Linked DNA regions of Macaca mulatta. The protein of the gene in region 3 interacts with the protein of the main gene of each other region in a pairwise test. Links are inferred from orthologs where the notes say so. Each region holds a gene or a part of one and is shown on either strand. Other genes may lie near its edges. The genes, in order: CEBPE, ATF4 and CEBPG.

Region 1 (6,430 bases), on a different chromosome or scaffold from region 3:
AATATGCTTATTACATGCAAAGTTTTCTTTTTCTTTTTTCTTTTTTTTTTTTTTTTTTTGAGACGGAGTCTCACGCTGTTGCCCAGGCTGGAGTGCAGTGGCGCGATCTCGGCTCACTGCAAGCTCCGCCTCCCGGGTTCCCGCCATTCTCCTGCCTCAGCCTCCTGAGTAGCTGGGACTACAGGCGCCCGCCACCGCGCCCGGCTAATTTTTTTTTTTGTATTTTTAGTAGAGACGGGGTTTCACTGTGGTCTCGATCTCCTGACCTTGTGATCCGCCTGCCTCGGCCTCCCAAAGTGCTGGGATTACAGGCTTGAGCCACCGCGCCCGGCCAAAGTTTTCTTTTTCTATGAATATAACACTACAGAGTGGGTACGAATATTGCTACCATTTTGCAGATGAGGAAACCGAGGCACAGAGAGAAGTAATGGCTGAAGGCTCACAGCTAGTAAGTAGCAGAGTATGATTCAAACTGAGGCTCTTAATTACTGTACCATCTGTCTCTTAGGCTGGAGTCCAATGCCAAAGAAAATGCTGCTTTGAGTGAGGGGTGTCCCTGGCACAGGCAGATTGTCATCCTCCTTCTCATTACCAGTGTTCTCATACACAAATCCGCTTTCCAGGTCTCTCCCAACTGATTCCTGTCCCATGCACTCAATTCTCAAGCTTTACGGAACTGGAGCCCCAGGGATGAGGGACAAAGGATGGAAATGAGTAGGTGGGAGCAGCATTGGGAGGGTGTCCATCTGGTAGACTGAGGCATCGGAACTGGAGAGAAGAGATGGCAGGCTGGATCAAGGGACCATAAATATGGCAGAGCCATCAGGAATTTTCCCGTGGTCACCTGGGGCAGGAGCTCCCAGACCTATACTTCGAGGTGAGAGAGGGTGGACCTGGGAGCCGCAGGCCTGGGCATGAAGGACTGTGTGGTGCCAGGATCTCCCTACAAGCTACAGATCTTTGTTAGCAGAGCATACAAAGGTTGCTCCAGGTCCTGCGGGGGGCGGGGATGTGCCTTCAGATCACAGAAGCGGGTGATGGGGATGTCAGGGAGAGAAAAGCAGAGTGGCAGATACATGGTCTGGTTGTGTAGCATGTAGGGGGCTGGCTGTGGACAGCATGTCTGTGTTTCCACATGTCCATTTGGATATGGAAACAAGAGGTGCAGACCTAGCCACATGCATCCTCTGTCCCCAGGGTCCTCCATCACACACACACACACACACACACATACACACACACACACACACACACAGAGCCAACAGTCCCAACACCCAGTCACAGTGCAACTTTATTCAGCCACATAATCATTATGCTGGGTCCTGCCCTTCCTTGCCACCCCGGTTGCCATTTATCCATGGTCTATGTCTCAGGGTTCTAGGCCCCCAGCAGGATGGGGGTTCGCAGAGTCAGGCCGTGCCACGGAGCCTGGTGCCCAAAGTCCACCAGCCAGACTCAGCTGCAGCCCCCCACGCCCTTGATGAGGTTGGCCGCCTCAGGGATCTGGCGGAAGAGGTTGCGGAGGGTGTCTAGCTCCTGGGTGAGCTGCTCCACGCGGCTGCGGAGGCGCTCGTTCTCTGCCATGTACTCCAGCACCTTCTGCTGCGTCTCCAAAATGCGCCTCTTGGCCTTGTCCCGGCTCTTGCGCACTGCGATGTTGTTGCGCTCCCGCCTCAGCCGGTACTCAAGGCTATCTTTGTTCACTGCCTTCTTGCCCTTGTGTAAGGGGCCAGCGGGGGAGGGCGCCTTCAGGAGGGGACTGCAGGGCGGTGCGGCAGTGGCCAAAGGGGCCTGGAGGGGAAGGCACGGAGAGACGGAGAGGTGAGGGCTGGCCAGGAGGCAGAGCGAAGGCGGGACGAGAATCTCTGCAGCCAGGGCACACTTGCTGCATCGAAGGAATACAGGACTCAGAGCCAGCTCCTGTCTCTCAGGTCAAAACTATCATCACCCTGCTTCTGGGAGATGGTGACCCAGATGCACAGGGTTCTCTGCTTGAGACCAAAACTCCCTTTCACGTCCTCACACTTTCTTTCTTTCTTCTTTTTTGTAAAGATGGAGCCTTGCTATGTTGCCCAGGCTGGTCTCCAACTCCTGGCCTTAAGCGACCGTCCTGCTTTGGCCTCGCAAAGCGCTGGGATTACAGGCATGAGCCGCTGCACCCAGCCAATGTTCTCACACTTTCTGAGTACACTTTCCCTCAATCTGTCTTGAGTCTCCTGTTCTATGACCAGCAGACATTTCTTACAGAAGCAGGCGGCAGAGAAACAAGAGGAGGGGGCATGGTGAGCAGCAGAGAGGCTGGTGGTGGGGGGCCTGAGATCAAGGTAGGCCAGCTTGCCGCAGGGTCTTTGGGACATGGTGGGGATTCAGGGTGGGAATGAATTCACAGAGAAGGAAAGGGAGGTCATGGTGCGGTGTGAGCACAGAGGACTGTGGGTTGGGTCCATTTCACAGAGCAACACCAAGCACAGACTCAGCAGCGTGAGCAGGGGCACAGGGTCCTGTCCACACCAGCCTCTCCAGCCCGGGGCAGGAGGGAGGAGGGCTGACCTGCTCTTACCTTGAGAACGCGCAGAGGCTGGCCGGGTGCTGCCAGGGTTGGGGGCAGGTGCATGGCTGTCTGCCCACAGTGTGCCACTTGGTACTGCAGGGGATTGTAGCCGCCTCGGCTGGCAGCTCGGCTGCCCTCTGGCCCCCGGGGCTCCTCCTTCACCGCCACAGCCCTGGGGTCGTAGCTCCCTGGGTTGCTGTAGATGCCAGGCCCCAGCGCCTTCCTGTCTGGGCCGAAGGTATGTGGAGGGTAGGCAAAGGGCCGAGGGTCAGGCGGCAAGTAGTGGGGGAAGGCAGGGGTTCCGGGGCCCTTGAGGCCTCTGGCCTCAGGCGCTGGCTTCACCGCAAAGAGATCGGAGAGAAGCTGCTCTTCCCCAGACTCGATGTAGGCAGAGAGGTCAATGGAGGCCTCATGCTCACACATGTCCCCCAGATCCCCGGGCCCAGCTCGGCCCCCTGAGAACTCAAGTGGCTGCTGGCCGCCCCGGGGCTCACACTCGTAGTAGGTCCCGTGGGACATGGCCGGCCCGCCCCCTCGGCTCCCCGCCCCCACCTGCTCTTGAGGCACCCCTTGGGGTGCTCGGGTTGCCCTCTCTCTACCTCCTCCTGACCTGGGCCTGCCCTCTCTCGATCTCCTGCCCTAGACCTGCCCTCTGCAGTCTCCTCTGTCACCCACTCCTGTGTGGCCTCTCTCCCCCCTCTGCTCTGCTTCCTTTTCCTTCCTCTGTAGTCAATGCCTCTCTTCTCTTCCCTTTTTTCCCCTCTCTCCCCTTGGGGTGACTCAGGGAGGGGCAGGACACACCCCAGAGGGAGAGATGTAAGCCTTAGAGAAAGGCGACTCCTGGCCTATTCAGCAGTTGGGGACACTCCTCGGTCAGGGTCCAAGCCAGGGTTCTGGAGATGCCAGAAGCTGATGCTTCTGGGAATGCCTGTCCACTCCCTCCTGAGCCCAGGGGACTCCAAATCCTCACCAAGGGCAACACCCTACTCTGAGCGTCCTCCTCCCTCCAACTGTGAAAAAGTTCTACGCAGAATGAGGTTCCAGGTTAGAGTGAAGAAAGCCCTCTTCCAGTGCCGACCCTCAGTTGGGTCTCAGCTCCTCCCTTGACATGCCTTCCTCTGGCTCTCCCCTGATGCTGGGCTCCACCTACTCCCAGGAGACAGTTTCTTTTGTGGCCTCACCTCCCAGAGCATTCTCTGAGTGTAGGCCAGGGTTTTGTTTTGTTTTGGTTTGTTTTTGAGGGGTCTGGGGAGTAGTGATAGGTCCTAGGAACAAGCTATACATGGGAGCCTGCATGGTGCTGGAGAGAGTACGCTCATTTGCTAGGTTTTTGCACAGGGGCTGTGCAATAGCCCAAATATGAGTATGTTTCCAGCCCCAGCTACCTGTAGCAGCCTGGCACAGTTCCTAACTCCCTGGGCTTGGTTGAAGCACCTGGTCAGGACTTGGGCCTTGCACTGCAGGCCCAGGCAGGCTGCTGCCCTTGGAATAGACAGCCATAATCCTCCGGTGGCTCCAGCACTTCTCTCTTCCAGCTGTTCTCTGCTGCAAGAGGCTCAGGCTGGCGCTTTGCCCCTCACCCTGGGCCTGAGGCTCTGCCTCTGGTTTCCTGTGCCCTGGGCTGCAGGGCTCAGGAGCTTGCTGCAGCTCGTTTGCTGTCTTTCCTTTTGCATGGCTGCTCTCTGATCTCCAATGCGTGTCTCTTGGGTCTACTTCCTCTTGTGAGGTTTGAGAAGCCTCTTATGTCATCACCTCTTCCTGGGGCTCTGTTTTAGGGTCTCCAGGAGAAGCCCATGGCTCTCTATCTGCAATTCTTGGTTCTGTGCTGGCTCTCCTCTTCCCTTTTCTCTTTCCTTTGGGAACTCCCAACTGCCTCCTTTCAGAGACACCTGCTCAGGTCCTGCTTTTACCTGTTGAATTTCATCTCCAAAAGGTCCAGCGGAGGGGGGGGTGGGGGTGGGGGGGAGGAAAGGGCACATAGAAATGTTACTGTCTCTTTTATGACCAGCAAGTACTCTGGGTGCCCCAGGGGGGCCAGAAGTTTTTGTAAGTTGGGCCAAACAAGGGCTGGGTCACTGTGAGTGGGCCCCAGTGGGACAAGTGCAGAGAGGATGTGTGTGGCATTGAACATTAAAATTTTAAAAATGTGTATTCTGGTTAGCATATTCCTTCCATCCTCCCTACCCCAACACCTACCCTAGATGCTGTCTGTGCATGACTTGAGACACAGCCAGATATGCTTTCTCTGAAAGCACAGTGACCTGGTATGAGGAGATCTGTGTGCATCCCAGAGACAGATGTCAGGAATTAGGGAGATTTCTCCATTTCAAAGCTGAGCTCTCAGTTTGGTGGCAGTGCTTCTGTTGACCACCAGGTGGCAATATTGGCCCCAATATTTCGGACTTGGAGGGCTGCTGTGGTCCGGACTCAGGTGGACAGCAGAGGGCAGCCTCTCACAGCTCTGGCTCTCAGCAAGCTCCTGCGGGGGGTCTGGAAGGAGGAAGAGGAGACCTGGCTGGGATGGGGTCTTGCAGTGCAGTTCTAGGGAGAATAAGCAGCTTGCAAGTCCTGCGTCCAGGGCCTTGTCTCCATGAGGAGAAATTCTGTCCCCTCCGCTACTTTGAAATAATGATAATGAATAGGCCTTGTGCTTTCTGATAAATTAATGCTTTTTCAATCCTTGAAACATACACTTTTTCATGCTCTTTGCCTATGGGTTATGCAGGAAGGTAGGCAAGGCAGACAGTATTTTTATTCCTACTTTATAAACAAGGATAACAAGGCTGAGAGGCTGAGCTGCCCAAGGTCATCCAAGGAGGATGCCTGGTTCATCTCTGGCTGAAGGGATGGGAAGGGGCTGCTATGTGACTTGGAGAACCTTCCTGGCACTCATTTGGCCACCATGGGGAGGGGGAAGTCTGCATCAGTAGCTGCGCAGGAGGAAGTGGGAGGTATGTAAATAGAGCCGCAGGAAATGAGAAAGTCAGCAGCTTTAGCCATGGTGAGATAAATCTCTGCCCCGGCCTCCCCGGCTAGTGCTGACGTTGCTGGTACGCTGACCTCAGTGTTTCCCAGTAACAGGGGTTTGGCTGGGGCAGGCAGGGCTCTGGATGTCAGGGTAGGGTAGGGGGAGCTCTGGACAGGAAGGGGAGGTGGGGAGGGCAGTGCCAGTCAGTGGCTGGGGGATGCTTGCTCAGGAGAGGAAAGAAGCTCTCCCGGGTCAGCAGGATCATTTTTCCTTTGCCACTGCAGTTACTACCTGTTTGGATGAACTGAAATGATGCATGTTTGTTATCTTAGTGACTTTGTAACAGGCCTCCTTCCAGTGCCACTTTTTTGGTGAATTAAGACTTTCCCAGTAGGAAGGTAGCTGAGCATGGCTGTGAAGTGTTAAGAGAGAACTGGGCTCAAATCTGGCCTCTGTCACTAACCAACTCCATGACTCTGGGCAAGTTACTTAATCTTCCTTGCAAAGTGGCAGTAGTAATACCTCCTTCATAGGGTTGTTTAATTTAAACTGTGAATAACATAGTGTATGTCATGCAACTGGTCTTAGTAAATGTAAAGTCTCCTTCTTCTCTTCCTCTGACCTCTCATTGCAGTTTTATCTGTGTCTCCTTGACACTCACTACCTGCTGCCTGGTGTGGTGCGTCAGTTTGACGAACATTTTTGAGCACATAGGTACCAGGCACTGCACGGGGTCTGGGGATGTGTTGGCTTTAGCCCTTGCCAATAGGGATCACAGCCCAGCAGGAAGGCCCACAGGCAGTGGTTCCAGCATGGCATGGGTGGTCTGTGGAGCCAGGATGCGCACACATATGTGTGCCATGCATATCCTTGGTTTTGTTCCCCTAGCAAACTATTTGCTTTTTGAGGGT
Region 2 (6,100 bases), on a different chromosome or scaffold from region 3:
CCCTGTTGCCCAGGCTGAGTTGCAGTGTTGTGATTACAGCTCACTGCAGCTTGGAATTCCTGGGCTCAAGCAATCCTCCCACCTCTGCCTGAGTAGGTGGGACTACAGGCTGGAGCCACTGCTCCTGGCACCAATTCTGTATATCTCAACTCTCATGATTCCCCAAAGAGAAAGAAAAACCATACTTTTATTCCAGCATCCGGTATGCCTTGTGTATACCTGTATACAAGTTTTAAAGTTGTTGGTTTCATCTCATTAAATAATAGTTAAGAGTCCTCTGAGGCAGCAGGAGGATGTGGAGAGTAGCACAGGTCAGGGTCAGGTGACCTGAGTTCTATGAAGGGTAGCAGCAATAGCAACTATTATTGGGTGCTTACATGTACCAGGCGCTATGCTAAGTGCTTTACATGTATGACTTCACTTCATGGGGCAAGGATACTCATCAGTAGTCTCATTTTACAAATGAGGAAACCGAGGCTCAAAGAGGATAAGTCACTTAGCCAAAATGTCCCAGCCAGGATTCTTTTGGGTGAGCTCCCCAAAATTTGTCTTCTAACTCCTACCCTATACTCCCTCCACTGGGAGCTGTGCGACTTTGAGCAAGAAGCTTCATCCCATTGGGCCTCGGTTTACCATTGGAAAGGACTTGTGAGCGAGGTTGAATGAGCGCAGCAGATGGCCTGTGGTTATTTAGAGCAGTGCTTCCCTGGTTGTTTGGTATCACAGCGATCATAGAAATACTTGTGTGGCCCGGTGAAATGGAGGCGGAAACTCAGTTTCTACCTTCACAGGGCCTGACTGGAGGGGGCTGAGGACGATGCGGAGGTTTCCTGTATTAAAACAGACTACCCCCCCTTCCCAACGCACAACCCCGAGCACGTGGCCGTGGGTTCCCAAGCGCCTCTCCTCCCAGGGCCATGGGCATGACCACCGAAAAGCGGGTTAGGCCGGGGAGTTCAGAACCCGGAGTGAATCGAAACTACCCCAGGTAGATGGCAGCGAAGAAAATTCTGTTCTTAGGGGAACGCAATCTTCGGACACCAGAAGTTCCCCTATGATGCTATTCTGTGGCAGCCTCGCACTTGAGCCGGATGAGAATTGTAAAAACCCAGGTTGGGAGACAGGACGGCGCGTCTTCCCGGCTCCTTTCCAGAGTTTAGACGGAGCCATGCAGACTCAGCTGGCCTTTGGGTGTAGGTGGGCAGGCCCGAGGCGCCCTCTCGAGACCCCTTCAACCTCCCGGGGGCAGCAACACCGTATCGGCTATGAATGGCGTCTCTGGAAAACTCAGGCTTGGAACAGGTAACCCCCCGGTTTCCGCAGGCCAGAAATCAGCCCCCGCAACCGAAGGACGCGCAGGCTGGGAGTGGCGGCGGGGCCGCCAGTGGCGGACCTCCACTGAGGGCGGCGGGACCCGACCGCAGGGGCTGGGCCCTGAGGCCACTATGGGGTGCGCTAGGCTAAGGTCTCCTGGGGGCAGGAGCCAGTGCGATTGTAGCTGGCCAGCAGGCTGGCCGGCCTGAGGCCTGGCAGAGACCCGAGACCCCGACCCTTACCACGCGGACTCCGTGATCCCTCTCCCAGCAGCCGCCCACCTGGGGCCCTGAGCCAATAAGAGCTCGAGGTATATATGACTCACCGTGCCTGGGCCAATCAACTTGACGCGCGCTCTTCGCCAGCACCTCGCGCGATAACCTGGCTTCCTCGGCCTTCACAATAAAAACTCTCCGCCGGAAAACGACCTCTCCCCGCCCACCGCGCCGACACCGGAAGCGAGGCGTGTCTGCGAGATCACTCCGCGCTCCGGCGGCGAAGGAAAGAACGGACTCTGATCATAGAAGTCTAGTAAAGTAGTGCACCTCTCTCGTTTCGTGAGGTCATAAGAACAAACACCTTTTCTCGTCACAGCTACGCGCTGGGCATAAACGGTTGGGGCGTCAAAGGGAGGGAAACGAGCGGGCGGGAGGAGATGGTCACGTGGCCGTGGCGGAAGGATGCGTCGGTGCTGCGTCCCCTTAGAGACGAAGTCTATAAAGGGCCGGCGGGCGGCTGCTGCGGCCATTTCTACTTCGTCCGCCCACAAATGTAGTTTGGTTTGCACGTGTGCGCCTTCCCTCCTCCCCGCCCGCAGGGTCCACGGCCACCATGGCGTATTAGGGGCAGCAGTGCCTGCGGCAGCATTGGCCTTTGCAGCGGCGGCAGCAGCACCAGGCTCTGCAGCGGCACCCCCCCCAGCGGCTTAAGCCATGGCGTGAGTACCAGGGCGGGTCGTCCAGCTGTGCTCCCTGGGCCGGCGCAGGATTTGGGTTGGTGGGGTGCGGCCTGGGGCCGGGGCGGTGCCGCCAAGGAGGAAGCGATTTTACGAGCGCCCGGGACGCGTGGTCTTTGCTTGGGTGTCCCCGAGACGCTCGCGTGCCCGGGATCGGGAAGGCGCATTCTGGTGCCAGGACTGCTTCCACAGGGGCCCTGCCGCCCTCGGACCCCGAGTCCCCCAAGGGTCCCAGGGGTCTCGGCTTTCCCCCCCGCGAAACGTGGCAAGAACCAAGATGGCGGCGGCAGGGCGGCGCCGCGGGCGTGAGTCAAGGGCGGGCGGTGGGCGGGGCGCGGCCGCCCTGGCCTTATTTGGACGCGGGGACGGAGCGCCTTCCTCTTGGTGGCCGGTGGAAGAATCGCCTGGTCTCCGTGAGCGTCCATTTTGTGGAACCTGAGCCGCAGCAGGGAGGGGCGGATGCAACTGCCCCGTTGCCGACTCTATAGATGGCTGGACTAGAGAAGTCCCGCCTCGTAAGTGGAAAGATGAAATTCTCAGACCAGCTAACCTCTAATGGGAGTTGGCTTCTGATTCCCATTCAGGCTTCTCACGGCATTCAGCAGCAGCGTTGCTGTAACCGACAAAGACATCTTCGAATTAAGCACATTCCTCGATTCCAGCAAAGCACCGCAACATGACCGAAATGAGCTTCCTGAGCAGCGAGGTGTTGGTGGGGGACTTGATGTCCCCCTTCGACCAGTCGGGTTTGGGGGCTGAAGAAAGCCTAGGTCTCTTAGATGACTACCTGGAGGTGGCCAAGCACTTCAAACCTCATGGGTTCTCCAGCGACAAGGCTAAGGCGGGCTCCTCCGAATGGCTGGCTGTGGATGGGTTGGTCAGTCCCTCCAACAACGGCAAGGGTGAGTGGGCCACCACCACATCGTCTGGGTGGGATCTAGGGTTAGGGGCCTGTTATCTTTGTATCTGACTCACTTGGCCCTGTCATTCAAATCTTTTGCAGAGGATGCCTTCTCCGGGACAGATTGGATGTTGGAGAAAATGGATTTGAAGGAGTTCGACTTTGATGCCCTGTTGGGTATAGATGACCTGGAAACCATGCCAGATGACCTTTTGACCACGTTGGATGACACGTGTGATCTCTTTGCCCCCCTAGTCCAGGAGACTAACAAGGAGCCCCCACAGACGGTGAACCCAATTGGCCATCTCCCAGAAAGTTTAACAAAACCCGACCAGGTTGCCCCCTTCACCTTCTTGCAACCTCTTCCCCTTTCCCCAGGGGTCCTGTCCTCCACTCCAGATCATTCCTTTAGTTTAGAGCTGGGCAGTGAAGTGGATATCACTGAAGGAGATAGGAAGCCAGATGCCACTGCTTATGTTGCCATGATCCCTCCGTGCATAAAGGAGGAAGACACCCCCTCAGATAATGATAGTGGCATCTGTATGAGCCCGGAGTCCTATCTGGGCTCTCCTCAGCATAGCCCGTCTACCAGGGGCTCTCCAAATAGGAGCCTCCCATCTCCAGGTGTTCTCTGTGGCTCTGCCCGCCCCAAACCTTACGACCCTCCTGGAGAGAAGATGGTAGAAGCAAAAGTAAAGGGTGAGAAACTGGATAAGAAGCTGAAAAAAATGGAGCAAAACAAGACAGCAGCCACTAGGTACCGCCAGAAGAAGAGGGCGGAGCAGGAGGCCCTCACTGGCGAGTGCAAAGAGCTGGAAAAGAAGAATGAGGCTTTAAAAGAGAGGGCGGATTCCCTGGCCAAGGAGATCCAGTACCTGAAAGATTTGATAGAAGAGGTCCGCAAGGCAAGGGGGAAGAAAAGGGTCCCCTAGTTGAGGGTAGTCAGGAGCGTCAGTGTGCTTGTACATAGAGTCTCTGCTGTTGCTGTGTGTTGGAATAAATTATTTTGTAGGGAAAGTACTTGTGTGAATTCCTTTTCTGGCAAATTAGCCGAGTGAGGCGCCAACCACGCATCCCAAACTGGTTATAACATTCCTTGTGAGATCTGGGGAGGAGGGCAGTCCAGGACTGAAGATGGGTACCCAGAGTGGGAACTGCTCGCCCTGCTAGGTGTAAGCCACGATGTCTGATGACTCATGGGGCCATACAGCCGGATAGTTGGCCAACTGTAGCAAGTTGGGTCCTTTACCCAGAGGTGAGTTCGCTGGTTGTGTAGGGAGGAGGCTGGAGCTCTCTGAGAGGTTGGGAGGGAGGGACAGCCTGGGCCTCTTACCTATTTATTCAAGAGGGCTTCATGCCAACAGCTGTCGCCTGAAACCCTGGATAAGCTTGCACAGTCCTTGAGATAAGCACACAAGATTAGTTTTCACTTGTTACCCTGAGTTCTGTAGAAACGTGTTCCTGAAGAAAGAAATGGCTCCTTTTCGGAATTGATGCTGAAGCAGGACAGGAGCTGAGGGTTGGCCTCCGTTTCTCCTTATGGGGTGGAAGGATGACATCCTGCACAGGTTCTGGCTAGAGCTGGGCACAAAGGCTACAGTTCCTGTGAAGGCTGTTGTGCCTGTTGCTACCTAAATAGAAGGCCTGGCATCATGCTAGGATGGATCAGCGCCTAGAAACCACGCCTCCTCACCGCAGCTTCTTCCTGGCAAGCTGGCGGGGAGACCTCGCCTTTCCAGGCAGGCGATGTCTTTTGTGTTGCGGATGAGTGCTTGATTTTGTGTTGCGGATGAGTGCTTGAATGCAAGGATCAGCGTATCCTGGGTAGGTCTGTCTTTCCTCTTGTGTCCTTCAGGATCACAGTTTTCCTTCTGTGGAAGGTGGTGTAGACTGGGTGTGCCCGGGGAATGGCTGGGAGGACAGTGAGGGTGAGTGCGCCCAGGCACTGCTGTAACTGAGCACAGTACGTGTGTTCACCCCGTCCCCGAAGCACACCCAGGAGGCAGACGCCACACTCAGGAGGATTTTTTTTTTTTTTTTTTTTTTTTTTTTTTTTGAGACAGGGTCTCTCCCTGTTGACCAGGCTGGAATGCAATGGTGCAATCTCGGCTCACCACAACCTCCACCTCCTGGATTCAAACGATTCTCATGCCTCAGCCTCCCGAGTAGCTGGGATTACAGGTGCTCGCCACCATGCCCAGCTAATTTTTGTATTTTTAGTAGAGACGGGGTTTCACCATGTTGGCCAGGCTAGTCTCGAACTCCTGACTTCCTGATCCACCCACCTTGGCCTCCCCAAAGTGCTAGGATTACAAGCATGAGCCACCGCGCCTGGCCTTTTTTTTTTTTTTTTTTTTTTTTTTCTTTTTAGAGATTGAGCCTATTCCCCAGGCTGGAGTGCAGTGGTGCAATCTTGGCTCACTGCAACCCCTGCCTCCCAGTTTCAAGCGATTCTCCTGCCTCAGCCTCCCGAGTAGCTGGCATTACAGACGACTGCCACCATGCCCAGCTAATTTTTGTATTTTTAGTGGGGATGGGGTTTGTCATGTTGGCCAGGCTGGTCTCGAACTCCTGACCTCAGGTGATCCGCCCGTCTCGGCCTCTTAAAGTGCTGGGATTACAGGTGTGAGCCACCACGCCCAGCTCACCCAGGAGGATTTTGAGCAAAGAGGTAGAGCTGGAATTTGAAGCCAGGACTCGGGCTCCAGTCTGGGCTCTTCATTTTGCCTCTTGAGCTGGAAACAAATGGCCCGTCATGACCTTTCCGGTGCCCAGTATAGACGGTCACCTGAGAGCCAACTGTTGACGGAATGTATGCAACTGCTTGTGGAGAAGTTGCCCGAGGCACCGCTGGAAGTGGGCATCACACATGGGTCTTGGACCTGGTGCTCTTCGAGGTCTTTCCTGCTGAGATTCTAGAATTCTCCAAA
Region 3 (6,595 bases):
GTAAAAGCGTGACTATCCTATCATCAGGAGGCCGCTTCAACATCAACTGACTCAGTTCAGTGAACGGTGTCCACCAAGGTGTCAAGGCACTCTTAGACATTTAGAAAGCAGTGTTAGGAACATAAACCTATCCTGTTCTCTTTTCACAAAACTGCTAAAATTACATCAGTGGAAAAAATCTGGAGTCAGATTTATACAGTGATCCCACAATGAGGGAAAGCTCAGTTAGCCAACACCAGTAGCTACATCCAAACCTTTAGCCAGGCAATTCTGTACACAGTTTATTGGTCTCTTTTTAAAAAACATCTTTGCTTTAAAAAGTCCATGTGTCATTACTTTCCATTGTTTTCAAAGCCACACAGCCGGCCCTGAGCTAGTAGGTCATCTGTTCTCACTCCAGCACTAAGGCAAGACAGAAAGCGTCCCTCCAAATGATGAAGGCTATCCACTCCAAGCCTATCTTCAGTAACAGACAGTTCACAGTTTCCTTTGATCCTTATTAGGTTGCCTCATTTTCCTTTCAGTAGCAAAGTGGCTGTTCAGTATTAATCTGAGCCATGCTTAGTGCCACCTAACATTATTATTGCTTATCTATCTGGTGTCAAGTGAGTAGAAGTGCTTGACTCAATTATTAAGAACTTGGTTAACACCTCTCCTGAGACTGTCTTAACAATCATAATCATGTTCACCTTATTTCTCTACTTTTTTATATACCAATTATATTTTTAGCCCTTAAAGCTCTCTACAGTCAATGTGGCCATGCTCAGAGATAGCAACGATCCAAAACGGTAGAGACCGGTGACCAGGCCAGTTCTTGTCTTGGCTATGGCTCCCCCTATTTTAGTATGGGTAAATCTCTTTTCTTCCGTGGGCGTCTATTCCCCATATGTAAATGAGGGATGTGGAATAGTAAGACACTTTTCTACAGACAACACACCACGACCTTCAGTCACTAACAGCTCTTATTCACTACAGGGTCCAAGTTCAGCGACGTTCATGCCTGTTTCCATATCCAAAGATACAGGAACAGGGAAGGGCTCTTTCACCTCTGCCTGACTCATCTTGCAAGGTACTAGGCTGAACGTGTGTGGTAGGCGAGGTTTTAAAGGTAAGCCCTTTGGCGTGAAAAGAGTATTCACTGAACCTACAAGCTGGTGAAAATGTAAGAAAGAGAAACTTGGAGATAATCAAAATAACTCCGAGACTGTTTTGTTTAAAAAGTTCTTAAACCATATAAATAGCTCTTAAAGTGAAGAGAAAATTAACCAAGTAAAAGGGGATCAAAGAGCTAAGAGGTTTTACACAGAAAAGGCCACTCTCATTTATGCTTTGTTCCTTCCACACACATTTACTGAACAGCTACAACAGGCAAAAAGTGTTTATTTCAAAGCTGGACATTGAGTCCTAAATTCAAGTCCGGCTCCTCTGTGGACAAACACTATTCCAAAGTTCAGCCTACAGGAAGCAGGGTGGCGCCTGGCTTCCTTCCATGTGAATCACTCAAGTAGGAAACAGCAGGAACGCTGAAGAGCAGTGGCTCTCAAAGTGTGGTCCCTGGACCAGCATCATCATCATCCAGGAACTCTTTAGAAATGTAACTTCTCAGGCTGCCCCAGACTTAGAATCGGAGTTCTAAGAACAGGGCTGAGCAATCTTTTCATAAGGAGACTTCCAAGTAACTTTGATGACACTGAAGTCTGAGGGTCTCTGCTGTTGATTCCCAATGAATACTGAGAATGGTGGACTAACTGGATAATAGGCTTTGTTTCAATTCAAACTTAATTCAAGTAATGTTCGTTCATGTCAGTCACACTGAAAGCGCACACAATGTTAGAATGAGTAAAACAAAATCAAATTTTTCTGAAGTTTCACCTGGGGAAATAAACCTACTAAGAATTTTCCCAATGCTTTTGTCCCTTTTCTCCACACACCTAGAATCCAATATTCCTCCCCTTGCCCACCAAAATAAATTTTTCACTCAGTTTCCTCAATGAAGGTCAACATTTCAAAACAGTCATAGATGTTTCTCCTTGGTCCTAACTCTATTTAGTCTTTGGGATTTGACAATTCCACCTAAAACAAAAAAACTTCCCATCTACCCTTCCTCTCCATCCCAATCCCATCGAACTCACCTCAGGTCACTATCATCTCTCAGGGACACTGGTCTCTGGTCTAGCCTGCTTCCTCCAACCTCTGTCTCCAGAGCAATGAACACTCAAACCTGAGTGAGTCACTCTCCTGCTGAAAATTCATCTCTGGCTCCAGTCTACAGGATCAAATCCAAGGTCCTGACCCTCTCTCCTCCCTCACACCACATCTTGACAGTACTAAACCACTATCTGTATCCTAAATGGTCTGTGCTTTCTCTTTTCTTTGGGCATCTGGGAAGATCTGTTCCCTAGGTCTGTCAACTCCAGCCACGTCGTGTCTCCCTGCGGATCTTCACATGCATCTACTGCAGGGTCCATGAGGGAGGGGACGTCCCCTTTCTGGGAGTACAGAAGTGGGTCACTGGGGCATGAGAAGAACATCAACATCATCTTTCTAACCCAATCCTTTTGAAGTGATTTACAACACACAAAACAAATAGACTGTAAATAAACAACCATTAGGAGCTCATGCTCATTTTTTTCTTTTTTTACTGATAGAGCTAGAAAGCCACAAACGCAGGAGGCCAGTGTACCTATCAATACAACCACCCATGGAACCAGCCCTCCCAAGAATGCACAATACACCTGGAATCGTAGCTACCTGTACTTACCATTACTGTGACCAAGTGAGGCAATCTTAGACTATAAGACCAAATTCAGCCCCATGAGGTCCTATTTGTCTTTACCAGGGGCTCAGCACATAGTGTTTAATTTCCCAGAGATGAAACCATCTCTCCAAGATCAGCCAGCCTTGCGGACAGACATGATGTGCTCTTGAGAATTTAAAGGATATTCTCAATGTTTTGTTTCCCCCTACTTTTTTTAAAGCAGGTATTAAAAATAACTAAACCAGCCAAGTGTGCCCACCAGAAGCAGGAATCAAGAAGCTGAAATATGCTTCAGCTCCTGGGTACCCTGTAATTATTTAAGCCTTGTTTACAGCAACTTTTTCCAGAAGCAGAACTGACCTTATGAACGGCTTATCCCAAATACTACTCAAGGGCTAACAGATGATCACATCTTAAACATCAAGAGCTTCTAGATGTAGAATGTCTTCGTAAAGCAAGCCCTTACAGGATTTTCTTTTAAAATTTTCTCGGCGAGTCACACATCTATGGGAGAAGTCTGCCTTAAGTGACAACCTATTCATACAGGCAGTCAATTTTGACACAACTACCAATTTTGGTGTCACCCATCAACACTGAGACCTTTCTAAATCTTATACATTTCAGGATGCCAGATTACAGTATAAACCTCAAACAAGGGGAAAACCAAACAGTAAACCTAGGGAAGAGAAGCAACACACCAGCTACCCTGGAAAACAGACTCTCCTCCCCCACACACATGTATTTCCATCCTCCGCATCTGGACACCTCTGCTGGCTGTTTGCCCTGCTCCGCTCCCTCCAACCATGCCCGCGAAGTGCTTCATTTCTTCTCTATTTGACCCGTGGGTGTTGCGTGTTCTTCTAAACTACGTTCAACAGTAAAGTGCAGGACATTCAAACAGCTCCACAAAGCAAAATATTATCTCTGCGAAGTCATGCATTTAAAAACTAGTTGCTTTCCCTATTTTATTGATCAGTCTTTGAACTTCTGAACAGATTTTCGATCACCGCAAGCTGAGCCCTTCTAGAAGAGCAGGATTCTAAAGCTCGATTCGGTCCACCTTCTGCTATTCTGGGAACACCCTTCATCCCCAGGGGCCAATGCAAGCCTGGCCGGTCACACCGCCCGTCTCACCGAGAGGGGGCCGGGCTCCGCAGGGGGCATTCCCCGGCCGTTCGCGCGCTCTCGGCCAGCCGCGAGGGGCGCCCCGGGCAGCGCGGGGGTCGACGGGCGGCGCCGCGGCGCTGGGCCGCGGCCAGGAATGAGCTCAGCGTCCCCGCCGCCGGGTGTTGCCGGCAGGTTGCATCAGACGCCGCGCGGCGCCGCCGCCCGCGCCTCCAGCCTCGCGGGGCCTTCCCGAGCCAGCCAGCCTTCTGGGGCCGGGGCTGGGTTTCCCCGAGCCGGGCCCGCGCCCAGGCGAGCGGCCGGCACCGCCGCGGCCTCCTCCTCCCCGATCTCAGGGCGCCCGCCGCGGCCTCTTTACCTGCTCCTCCAGCCCGCCTGCCCCCAGGCGGCCTCCACTCCGAGCGGCCCCGCGCGGTGCGGCCCGAGCCGACCCAGGCCTCACAGCCCGCGAGTCAGCGAGGAGGAGCGACGGTTACGAAACCGGCAGCCTCCGCCCGTTCCGCAGCCGCGGCCACCGGCTTCCCCTCGTCGCCGGGTCGCGCGCGCCGTCGCCGCCATCCTGACCAATGGGAGCGCCGGCCTGCGGGAGGCACCGCCTTCTCTCGCGACGGGCACCCCACCCGACCAATCGTGGGCCGGATAGAGGAGGGAGGCGGGCACACGGCGGGGGCGTGGATTCCGCGCGGCTGGCTCGGCGGGTGTGGCGGGAGCAGGCGGCTGCTCGCTACGGCGTCCGCGGTCGCTCGGCGGCTTGCCCGGGCTGGCTGCGGCCCAGTGCTGTGGACTACTCAGGTTCGTGTCGGAGGCTGAAGAGCCGTCGCCTTGTGAAGGCCAGACCTGCCTTTGGAAGCATTTCCTGAGGTAGTTTTGTGAACCACCGGTGACTGTTTTGATTTCGCCGCGTCCCCTGGGAGCCCCCGCGGCGTCCCTCACAGAGTTTCTCCGAACGGAACTTCCCGCAGGCGGGCTGGCCCTGTCGCCGAAAAACGAGAGGAGGCTGACGCGGTGGCTCCCGCCTGTAATCTCAGCGCCGAGGGAGGCCGAGGCGGGAGAACGGCTTGAGCCCAGGCGGTGGAGACCAGCCTGGACAACATGGCGAGACCCCATCTCTGTTACTAATTTTTAAAAAATCGAATGAACCCAAATGTTTCGCACATAGGATTAGCATTGATGTCACATGGGTGAAAGCTGCAGGCTGTGCTTTGTTGTTAGGGTGACATGAAGTGAATTTCCTAAATCGATTCCCCTTGGGTGCCTTCCAGGTGAATGGGTGCGAGGTGCTCTCTGAAAATGAGCAGCGATCCAGTGTGACTTAAAACTCGCCAGGAGGACCCGAAAGCGTTTTAACACCAGGAAGCAGCAGCTCGCTGGGCGGAGGGCAGAGCTCGCCTGATAGGTTTGATTGCTTCCTCTTTAGCAATGCGTATCGTTCAAAAAATTGAGGCTTTGAAAGAGGAAATGTTTCTTCAGCGCCCATGGAACCGGCTCGCCCCGTAAGATTGTTTCGAGGAATCAGTAAGATGATAAAGCAATAAATAAAAATTAAAAGGGGTCACAAACGTGAACAATGGGCTAGGTGCGGTGGCTCAGGCCTGTAATCCCAGCACTTTGAGAGGCGGAAGCAGTTGGATCACTTCAGGTCAGGAATTAGAGACCAGCTTGAGCAACATGGAAAAACCCTGTCTCTACCAAAAATACCAAAGATTAGCCGGGTGTGGTGGCGCTGTGCCTGTGGTCCCAGCTACTCTGGAGACTGAGATGGGAGAATGGCTTGTGCCTGAGAGGCGGAGGTTACAGTGAGCTGAGACTGAGCCACTGCACTCCAGCCTGAGCCACAGGATGAGACCCTGTCTCCAAAAAAAAAAACAAGGAATAATGCTCACAGATCCACACTTGGGAGAGTAAGCGTCGTCAAAACAAGTGTGTTTCTTCACGTTGGCTCTCGTATTCTGAGCTGAAAAAGAAACTTCTTTTTTTTTTTCTTTTGAGACAGGGTCTTGCTATGTTGCCCCAGCTAGAGTGCAATGGCACCGTCACAGCTTGATCACAGCTCACTGCAGCCTCGACCTCCTGGTCTCAAGCCATGCTCCCACCTCAGCCTCCCAAGTAGATGGGATTATAGGCATGCACCATCACACCCAGCTAATTTTTAAAAAATGTTTTGTAGAGATGAGGTCTCACCATATTGTCCACTCTGGTCTCAAACTCCTGGGCTCAAGTGATCTTTCTGTCTCGGCCTCCCAGATTGCTGGGATTATGGGCATGAGTAACCAAGTCCTGCCTGAACTTGCTTTGATCAAGATTTTAGTGGTATTAAAATAGGATTGTGATTTATTGCTCACAAAATCATAATTTTACCCTGAATATTTCCTAATCACTTAAATGTACAAGGGGGCTGGGCGCAGTAGCTCACGCCTGTAATGCCAGCACTTTGGGAGGCCGAGGCGGGTGGATCACCTGAGGTCAGGAGTTTGAGACCACCCTGGACAACATGGTGAAACCCTGTCTCTACTAAAAATACAAAAATTAGCTGGACGTGGTGGCGGGTGCCTGTAATCCCAGCTACTCGGGAGGCTGAAGCAGAAGAATTGCTTGAACTTGGGAGGCAGAGGTTGGCAGTGAGCTGAGATCGTGCCACTGCACTCCAGCCTGGGTGACAGAGCAAGGCTCCATCTCAAAAAAAAAAAAAAAAAAAAAAAGGAAAAGAAAAAA

Evidence for each region.
Region 1: the proteins of CEBPG (region 3) and CEBPE interact in a two-hybrid assay, tested with the Homo sapiens proteins (2 studies listed by BioGRID and IntAct, with this or other methods). The link is inferred for Macaca mulatta from reciprocal best matches to the Homo sapiens genes CEBPG and CEBPE.
Region 2: the proteins of CEBPG (region 3) and ATF4 interact in binary tests that used the Homo sapiens proteins (3 or more experiments, as listed by UniProt). The link is inferred for Macaca mulatta from reciprocal best matches to the Homo sapiens genes CEBPG and ATF4.

What each region holds. Positions count from the first base shown.
Region 1 is NC_133412.1:96,210,872-96,217,301, forward strand, and holds CEBPE (CCAAT/enhancer-binding protein epsilon), read right to left. Parts: upstream 3,594-6,430; 5' UTR 3,071-3,593; coding exon 2,561-3,070; intron 1,792-2,560; coding exon 1,456-1,791; 3' UTR 1,272-1,455; downstream 1-1,271. UniProt on the Homo sapiens protein: Transcriptional activator. C/EBP are DNA-binding proteins that recognize two different motifs: the CCAAT homology common to many promoters and the enhanced core homology common to many enhancers.
Region 2 is NC_133415.1:12,019,942-12,026,041, reverse strand, and holds ATF4 (cyclic AMP-dependent transcription factor ATF-4), read left to right. Parts: upstream 1-2,271; 5' UTR 2,272-2,945; coding exon 2,946-3,171; intron 3,172-3,272; coding exon 3,273-4,102; 3' UTR 4,103-4,185; downstream 4,186-6,100. UniProt on the Homo sapiens protein: Transcription factor that binds the cAMP response element (CRE) (consensus: 5'-GTGACGT[AC][AG]-3') and displays two biological functions, as regulator of metabolic and redox processes under normal cellular conditions, and as master transcription factor during integrated stress response (ISR).
Region 3 is NC_133424.1:44,671,724-44,678,318, reverse strand, and holds the start of CEBPG (CCAAT/enhancer-binding protein gamma), read right to left. Parts: upstream 4,408-6,595; 5' UTR 4,242-4,407; intron 4,022-4,241; exon of another isoform or gene 3,524-4,021; intron 2,259-3,523; exon of another isoform or gene 2,133-2,258; intron 1-2,132. UniProt on the Homo sapiens protein: Transcription factor that binds to the promoter and the enhancer regions of target genes. Binds to the enhancer element PRE-I (positive regulatory element-I) of the IL-4 gene. Binds to the promoter and the enhancer of the immunoglobulin heavy chain.